2 linked regions of the Rattus norvegicus genome follow. The protein of the gene in region 2 purifies or fractionates together with the protein of the main gene of each other region. This does not show direct contact. Links are inferred from orthologs where the notes say so. Each region holds a gene or a part of one and is shown on either strand. Other genes may lie near its edges. The genes, in order: Smarca5 and Bptf.

Region 1 (3,820 bases), on a different chromosome or scaffold from region 2:
ATCTCTGAATGTTAAAACACAATGTATAAAATATACAAAGATACTTGAAAACGCTTAAAAACAAGACTTTAACCTAGAGACCCTAAGGTTAAAATTAAATAGTCTTGATTGCCAAAAAGAAGAATTTGCTAACTCAGATGAAGAAACTGATTGGAAATGACTTTAAAGCCAAGGCTAAGCCAAGACTCAAAAGTGAATGAATTTTCAGAATACTATGCTGGTTTAGTAATAGGCTAGCTACATATGTATGAAAAAGTTAATAGCCATATCAAACAGCACTATTATTAAAATATAGGCATTAACCAAAATATTATTAACCACAAAAAGAGCTTACATCAGCTGAATTAAACACATCTGGTAACAAAAAGTTTAGCAGGGACCAGAGCTCGTGCAGGTTGTTCTGAAGAGGCGTCCCTGTCAGCAACAGTCGGTTTGTAGTCTTGAATTCTCTCACTATTTCTGACAACTGAAAGAACCAGAGCCCATTATTAGAACATTTTGAATCACTCAGACACAAAAAAATGTTCATATTAAGTATCAAATTACCTTAGATTTTTCATTTTTTATCCTGTGAGCTTCATCTATAACTAAGTATCTCCAGTTAAATTTTTTGAACACAGACTTCTCTTTAATAAGCATTTCATAAGATGTGACACATACATCCCACTCTCCTGGTAATAGAACATCCCTGACAAATGCAGCCTATAAAGAAAAAAAAAATTACACCACTCAAGTCAATTATACATTAAATTCACTTAAGTAATCAAAACCAAGGAAGGAAGGAGTCTAATAAACAGCAGGCATTAAATGAACATCAAAGCCACCATCTCACCACCATCTCACCACTGAAACTACTTCCTTATCACCACAGAGTCAGTTTAACTTAGTTTCAAAAGGTTGAAGGGAATCACAAAATTCCATGGCCTAACTTTAAACTATCTTTCTACAGTTCACCAGGTCTTGCCATCCTTAGGAAGCAGGGTTTGTAAGATAAAGGAAGACTGACAGTTGGCAATAGATGGTCTCATTCTTTTGATTTGTAGATATATTAACACATTACTGTTATTGTTCTTATTTTATAGATAAGGATATGAAGTTAAAACGCAGAAGTAGCTGACTTCTTCAAACAAAAAAGCAACTTGGTAACTTAAAATAACCCACATAATCTACCTACTGAGGGGCAAAGAACTCTAGACAGTTCCTGGAGGATGACTCGGGGGTTAAGAACACTTGTTCTTAGAGAAGACTAAGGTTCAGTTTTCAGCACCCACACAGTGGCTCAAAACCATCCCTAACTCTAGTTCCAGAGGTGTTGACTCCCTTTTCTGGCTTCAGTGGAAACCAACATGCATGCAAAGTACCCATAAATATAAAATAATATTTAAAAAAACTAACCTCAACTAATTAAGTGTAAAATCATTTAATATAATCATTTAATCAATGAACACACTTGATTATATCCAACTTCCAAATCTAAGTTCTTTATTCTTAATAGTGTTGTTATTGCCATGACTTTGCCCTAAAAAGATGTGGCCCGGAAGTCAATAATTTAACTCATATTTGTATATAACAGCTCACCAAATTACTAAATTGACTCAACTCATATTTAACAATTACTATTCTATGACTATTACCACTGTACCCTAATCTAGAAATCTGGCCCCTCAAATTTCTAATGGTTTAACATATTCAAAAAAAACAAGTTAATATTTCCAAATAAATTATCTAGGACTTTATACAATGACTTCCAAGGGGAGAAACAAACTGAAAATAAAATTAAGAAATTCATTTAGCTTTTTAGTCTTTAAAGCGTTCTCAGTAAGATTCTTGAATAACCACAAGTAGTGTATAGTCATAAATTACTAACAATCCTTTTTAATCCCTTCTCCAGTTATTTCATCTTAAGTCTAAATTTAAATTCCATTAAATATTAATAGTATAAATACTTACTCTTTGCTCTTTATCTCCTATCAAGCAAACAGACCTAAGTGTTGGCACCCATCTCTTGAATTCACTCATCCAGTTGTGCAATGTAGACTTGGGAACCAAAACCATATGAGGACCAGGAATATTTCTATAGTGTTTCATGTACCCAAGAAGAGAAATTGTTTGCAGAGTCTTTCCCAAACCCTAAAAAATTCATAATTCAACATTAAAGAATTTAATTGCACTAGTCAAATTAAAAATTAAACAATTAAAAACACCCTTCCACACTTATAGACCCATCATATTTAGGAACATTTAGAACTATGACGAGATTGACTACTGTGTAAGTGTACAGTTACGTCACATAAGTCTATAAGGAAGGTATCAACATCACCTCAAGACTCAGAAAACGCGACATCCCCAAGTAACCAATCAGAGGCAGGAGCGAGATATATCTGACTGCATACTTACCCCAACCAATTGTTTAAGCACTACTTTTGGAAGGATTAAAGTCTTCACTAAATAACTAGTAAGTCATGAACAGAAGATACGGTGTTCTGTGAAACTAAACCCTGTGAGCTGACTTTTAATAAATGGAAAGAAACAGTCAAATACTGCAAAAACAAGAAAGTTATCAAAATGCATTATTTTAAAATTTACTCTAGTGCAGAGATGGTTAACTCTTCACACGTGAAGACGTCACTTACGCAACTAAAACAGTGGATTATAGTGCTTTAAGGAAAAAATAGTTATAATCAAGCCAAACTATCCATCTCTCTTCTGCTACAGATTTAGTCAAACTATCTTAAGTTACAACAACAAGAACACAAACATCTTCAAGCTTTGAGATTAGCAAATACATACCATCTCATCTGCAAGGATACCATTGATGCCATTCTCATACAGAGAGATGAGCCAATTCAATCCTCGGACCTGATAATCTCTCAGTTTACCCCATTTTACATCTAAAAAGTAACAACACACAATGCTCATTTTAAGGACAAGAAATATAAGATAGGGCTGTCTTTTATCTGATATTCAGAGGTTTAACTGGAACCTATAGGTGTCTACTTCTCCTTTCTAGAGGATACATATATTATGGGGTTTCTGCAAGGTGAAAGTCATTAAAAATAGGTAATGAAATCTGGACTGAAGAAGGGGTAATTGATACAAGTAACTGATAGTGAAGCTATCAGATGAGGAACTCTAACTACTAGCATCAGAGTAACTCATCGAAATCACTCAATCCAATGTTAAACCACATTGGTCTTCAGAGTATCTCTGGCCTCTTTCCCTCTCTTTTTTGTTAGCACACTTTTAACCGAGTGGTTTCATCTTCATAAAGATCAGATAGTAGTTCTCTGAAGATTTTCCTTTCTCCCCATTGAGAGTGGAAATAAAGACAAGAAATTCTTTCCAAGTCCACCCTTTCTATTCCTTAAGTCCGTTCTCTGATAGATGGCACATAAGGACCCATGTCCTTCAGTACACAGACATTACTTGTACTTCCCGGGATAAATCGCTGCCTAAGAATGAAAAGCTCATCAGGACTGGGCACACGAGTTACAACTGGAGACAGAAATAACCTGAATTTCCTTTCCAGCTTGTTATACATGTAGCTCTGGCCTCTAGCTTGATTTGAAAAGAAAAGGCCGGGGGAAAGGAAAGTGTGTGTTAAAAGTGGTCCAGTGGGTGAGTAAACTGTTCAATAGTCTAGCTAAGCAGGACTCCAACTAAAACCATTAGTTGTCCACAGTAATTACTCATCAAATAACAGGAGTTGCAGTAAAACTAGGCTTCCGTGAAGATTATAGAAGCTTCTAATAACCCTATCACAAATCAAGATTATTTATAAGTAAAACTAAGCTGTTTTCATATAGAAAAGCACTAATAC
Region 2 (3,820 bases):
CAAATGACTTCAAGTGAATAGCTACACTGTGGTGGGAGCCTTAGCACTCAGTTTTCTACCAGGGAAATGTGGTTTCTCATAAGCACTGATGCCACATGTCCAACAAGAAGTCCCAGGCCAGGCCCGGCAAGCAGTGTTTCTGCTCTTCCAAGGTCACCCACCAGTGACTGTGTATCATTACGGAAGCCTAACACAACCAAACCACTAAGTCTACTGCACAGCACAGTAATTCACGCTACTGAACATGCTGCTTTGACTTAATGACTTTACCTGTTTCTGAATGATTTCACTTTGGTTAGAAGCTTGGAGGGTGTGCTCACGCTCCATTTCTATCTGCTGCTTCTTCTTCTGCTGCTGATCCCTGAGTTGCTGAACCCTTTGCAACTGCTCTCGCACACTGGCTGCCTGCACTGTGAGCACACTCTGAGCGTGCTGGGCCTGCGCAGCACTGTTCTGCTGAACGTGAACGGGCAACTGCAGTTTGATCTGCTGGGGCGCACCACCTTGCTGAGCCTGTATCTGAGCCACAACCTGCGACTGGATCTGAGAGAGAACCTGGACTTGCTGGAGCTGAGGCACAGCGATGACTTGGGGCTGTGGCTGCTGTGTTTGTGGCTGAGGACGGGATGGGGATGGAACAGTAACCTGATTTAATGTCTGTCCTGATGAAAGAGTTTGAGTTGAAGACTGTACCTGGGGCTGTGACTGTGGCTGGCCTTGGGAAGGTGCCTGCAGAGATGTGGGGGGCGGAATTGGAATCGGCTGTGAGGCTGTAGTCTGAACCTGGGGTTGCTGTCCAGGAGTCACTTGGGATGGAGTTGATGGACGTATTCGAGTCAGTGGTGGGCTCTGGACACGAACTGGAGACTGTCCTTGTACACTGCTCTGAGGCTGACACTGTGTTGCAACCAGGGGTTTAGATGACTGTGCTTGGGAGGGCTGTGTTTCAGAAGGGACATGGGACGAGGCAGCTGGCTGGGTCTGGACTTCAGGCTGAGCTGGGGGCTGGGGCTGGGGCTGGGGCTGTGCTGCAGGCTGAGCAGGCTGTGGCTGGGCTTCTGCAGGACTCACACTTGATGACTGAGTTGGTGCCAGGGTTGTGGCTGGTTGTACCTGGGTCTGGGGAGATAATTTACTCTGTTTTTGTTCACCTGAGCCTGTAAAAAAGAAAGACAAAATGGTTTCTGGATGTGAGACTGGGAGACTATGGTGAAAGAAGACTCTGAAGGGAATTTCCTCAACTGAGGAGCTGGGACGTCCCTGATGTCCTCTGTGTGTGTCAGCTGGGCGCTCAGGAGCACCTGTCAAGGGTCACTCTTCCGCTAGGACATGGAAACGAGCACTGAGAGCTTGGAGAAGGCTTACAAAGAGGTCTGGGCCTGCAGCTCTCAAGCACCGTTCTCTCTAAGGAGCCCTCATCTTCATGGCTCCACCAAGGCTGGAGCAGGAGAGCAGGCACAGGGACCACGGCATCCGTTACTCTGTTCCTCCCGCCTTTCTATTATTTTTGCTTTGTGTTGATTGGGAAGTGAGTCTAGGAATAAGGCATGAAGCACAGAGGCTGACCACATGGCTGTTATGCTGGCTGGAGGCCGCATACCCGGCCCTGTGTGAACCCAGCATCAAGTGCAGAGCCAGCATGTCTACCTGTAGCTGTTGCATTAGTGCTGCTGCTGCTGCTGCTGCTGCTGACGGCCGTGACTGGTGTTGACAGTGGGGTAAAGAGGAAACGCTGAACGGTGCCATTCGGCATCGCGGCCTGCATGAGCTGCTGCCCTGGCCCTGGGAGGACCGTCATCCCCTGAGGTATCAGCTGCAACTGTCCAGTAGTCTGACCTTGTCCTTGAATCACTACTGTCAAACCTTGGTTGCCGCCCTGTGGGAAAAGCAGACAACACGGAACATGCAGTGTTCAAATCACAAATCACAAAGCTGAATGAAATCATTTATGTTACATCCTCACCGCGAGAACCCCAGGGGCAAAACTCACTCCTACTTTCACGTCTGGATATAGGTTAGAGCCATCATGTTCAGGTCAAAACTCTAATTTCAATCAATTGACTAAATTTTAGGAGTTTGGGTCTCACTGGTATCCCAGGATAACCTGGAACGCACCGTTGACTTAAGCCATTACTCCTGATTCTTACTTTAAGCCACTTTTATTTATTAATGTTATTTTATACTTTTCAAACATCTTTACATGTAGTCTCACTCCAGTCTCACACAGATTCAGTGCTTAGCAGAGCAAATCTTACCCTATGCCCTAATCACTCGTTCTCAATGACTCAGAAGCAGCAAGGTGTGCATACATGTAAAGGTAGCCTGACCCAACATATTAACACCCGCCTCAAAAAAACCAAGGGCTGGGACAGTGTCTCTGCAGCCGAGAGCCAACCTGCAATTCTCATGGCCCTAAACCCAACTCTCGGAGCCACAGAAAGAAAAAATCCCCTAGCTTAAAGGTGCTGAAAACTGAGCAGGTGTTCTGGGGTCTGCGTTTGTTCCCGTGCAGTATGAACACGTCAAATGTCCTATGCACTGTTAAGTGTTCCAAACGGCTGAATCCAGGTCTTTTCTCTGGGAAGGCATGCTACTGCCCAGTTGTGTTTCTTCACGGATCAGAAACAGAATGTGAGAACACAAGAGTCAGGGGAACTAGAAACCAGGGTTCTACATGTACAGACTGTTTAAAGCCTAGTGCTCAAGCACAGGGTTAGGAAGGAGACAGCTCTCCATGCTAGGAAGGCTGCACTTGGCTCCATAACCTCTGCCTTCCTTCCTATAGCATTCTGTGGGTGACCAAAACTCCACAAATGCCAGGTTTAAGTAACTGTTACAAGCAGCGTGGTGATGACTATGCTGTACCCAAGAATGGGATGTGCTCTGCTGAAGTTCTTTTCCCAGAGGACATGGCTGTCCTCACGGTTTAAACATTGTATCTCTTAAGAATATTACTTCCTAGATCACTGAGCCTCCCACAACAGAAGCAACATCCATGGGCTAGAGAGTTAGCTCAGTGTTAGAGCACTTATTCTTGTGAGGACCCAAGTTCAATTCCCAGCACCTACACAGTGGCTCACAACTGCTTGAAACTCCAGTCACGGACAATTCCATGTCCCTTCCATCAGCAACAGGCATGCACATACATGCAAGCGAAACACTACCACATATGAAATAATAAACCTTAGAAAGAAGCAACATTCATTTAAAATCAATGGGAACGGCCCCTTTGGGTAAAATGAAGCAGGTCCCCTATAGGGGGGTGGGGATGGCGGCATGCCTTTGTTTTGCCAGTTTCTGAAGCCTATACACACACAACCAAATTGTATATTCTTGTTTTAAAATCCCAACTGCAGGGTTTGAGAGATGGCTCAGTAGTTCAGTGCACTGGCTGATCTTCCAGAGGTCCTGAGTTCAATTCCCAGCACCTATATGATAGTTTACAACCATCTATAATGGGATCTGATGTCCTCTTCTAGTGTATCTGAAGATAGCAAGTGTAATCATATACATAAAATAAAACAAAAACGGGGGGGGGGGGGGAGGATGGGGAGGGGAACACCGATAAAGAAGGGGAGGGGGGAGGGGATGTTTGCCCGGAAACCGGGAAAGGGAATAACACTCAAAATGTATATAAGAAATACTCAAGTTCCGGGGACTAAGCCACTACCTAGAGACTATACATGGACTGACCCTGGACTCTGACCTCATAGGTAGCAATGAATATCCTAGTAAGAGCACCAGTGGAAGGGGAAGCCCTGGGTCCTGCTAAGACTGAACCCCCAGTGAACTAGACTGTTGGGGGGAGGGCGGCAATGGG

The links.
Region 1: the proteins of Bptf (region 2) and Smarca5 purify together in Homo sapiens (affinity purification with mass spectrometry; 4 studies listed by BioGRID and IntAct, with this or other methods). This does not show direct contact. The link is inferred for Rattus norvegicus from reciprocal best matches to the Homo sapiens genes BPTF and SMARCA5.

The regions. Positions count from the first base shown.
Region 1 is NC_086037.1:44,182,748-44,186,567, reverse strand, and holds part of Smarca5 (SWI/SNF-related matrix-associated actin-dependent regulator of chromatin subfamily A member 5), read right to left. Parts: intron 2,892-3,820; coding exon 2,791-2,891; intron 2,131-2,790; coding exon 1,951-2,130; intron 703-1,950; coding exon 547-702; intron 467-546; coding exon 335-466; intron 1-334. UniProt on the Homo sapiens protein: ATPase that possesses intrinsic ATP-dependent nucleosome-remodeling activity.
Region 2 is NC_086028.1:92,498,898-92,502,717, forward strand, and holds part of Bptf (bromodomain PHD finger transcription factor), read right to left. Parts: intron 1,877-3,820; coding exon 1,648-1,876; intron 1,158-1,647; coding exon 271-1,157; intron 1-270. UniProt on the Homo sapiens protein: Regulatory subunit of the ATP-dependent NURF-1 and NURF-5 ISWI chromatin remodeling complexes, which form ordered nucleosome arrays on chromatin and facilitate access to DNA during DNA-templated processes such as DNA replication, transcription, and repair.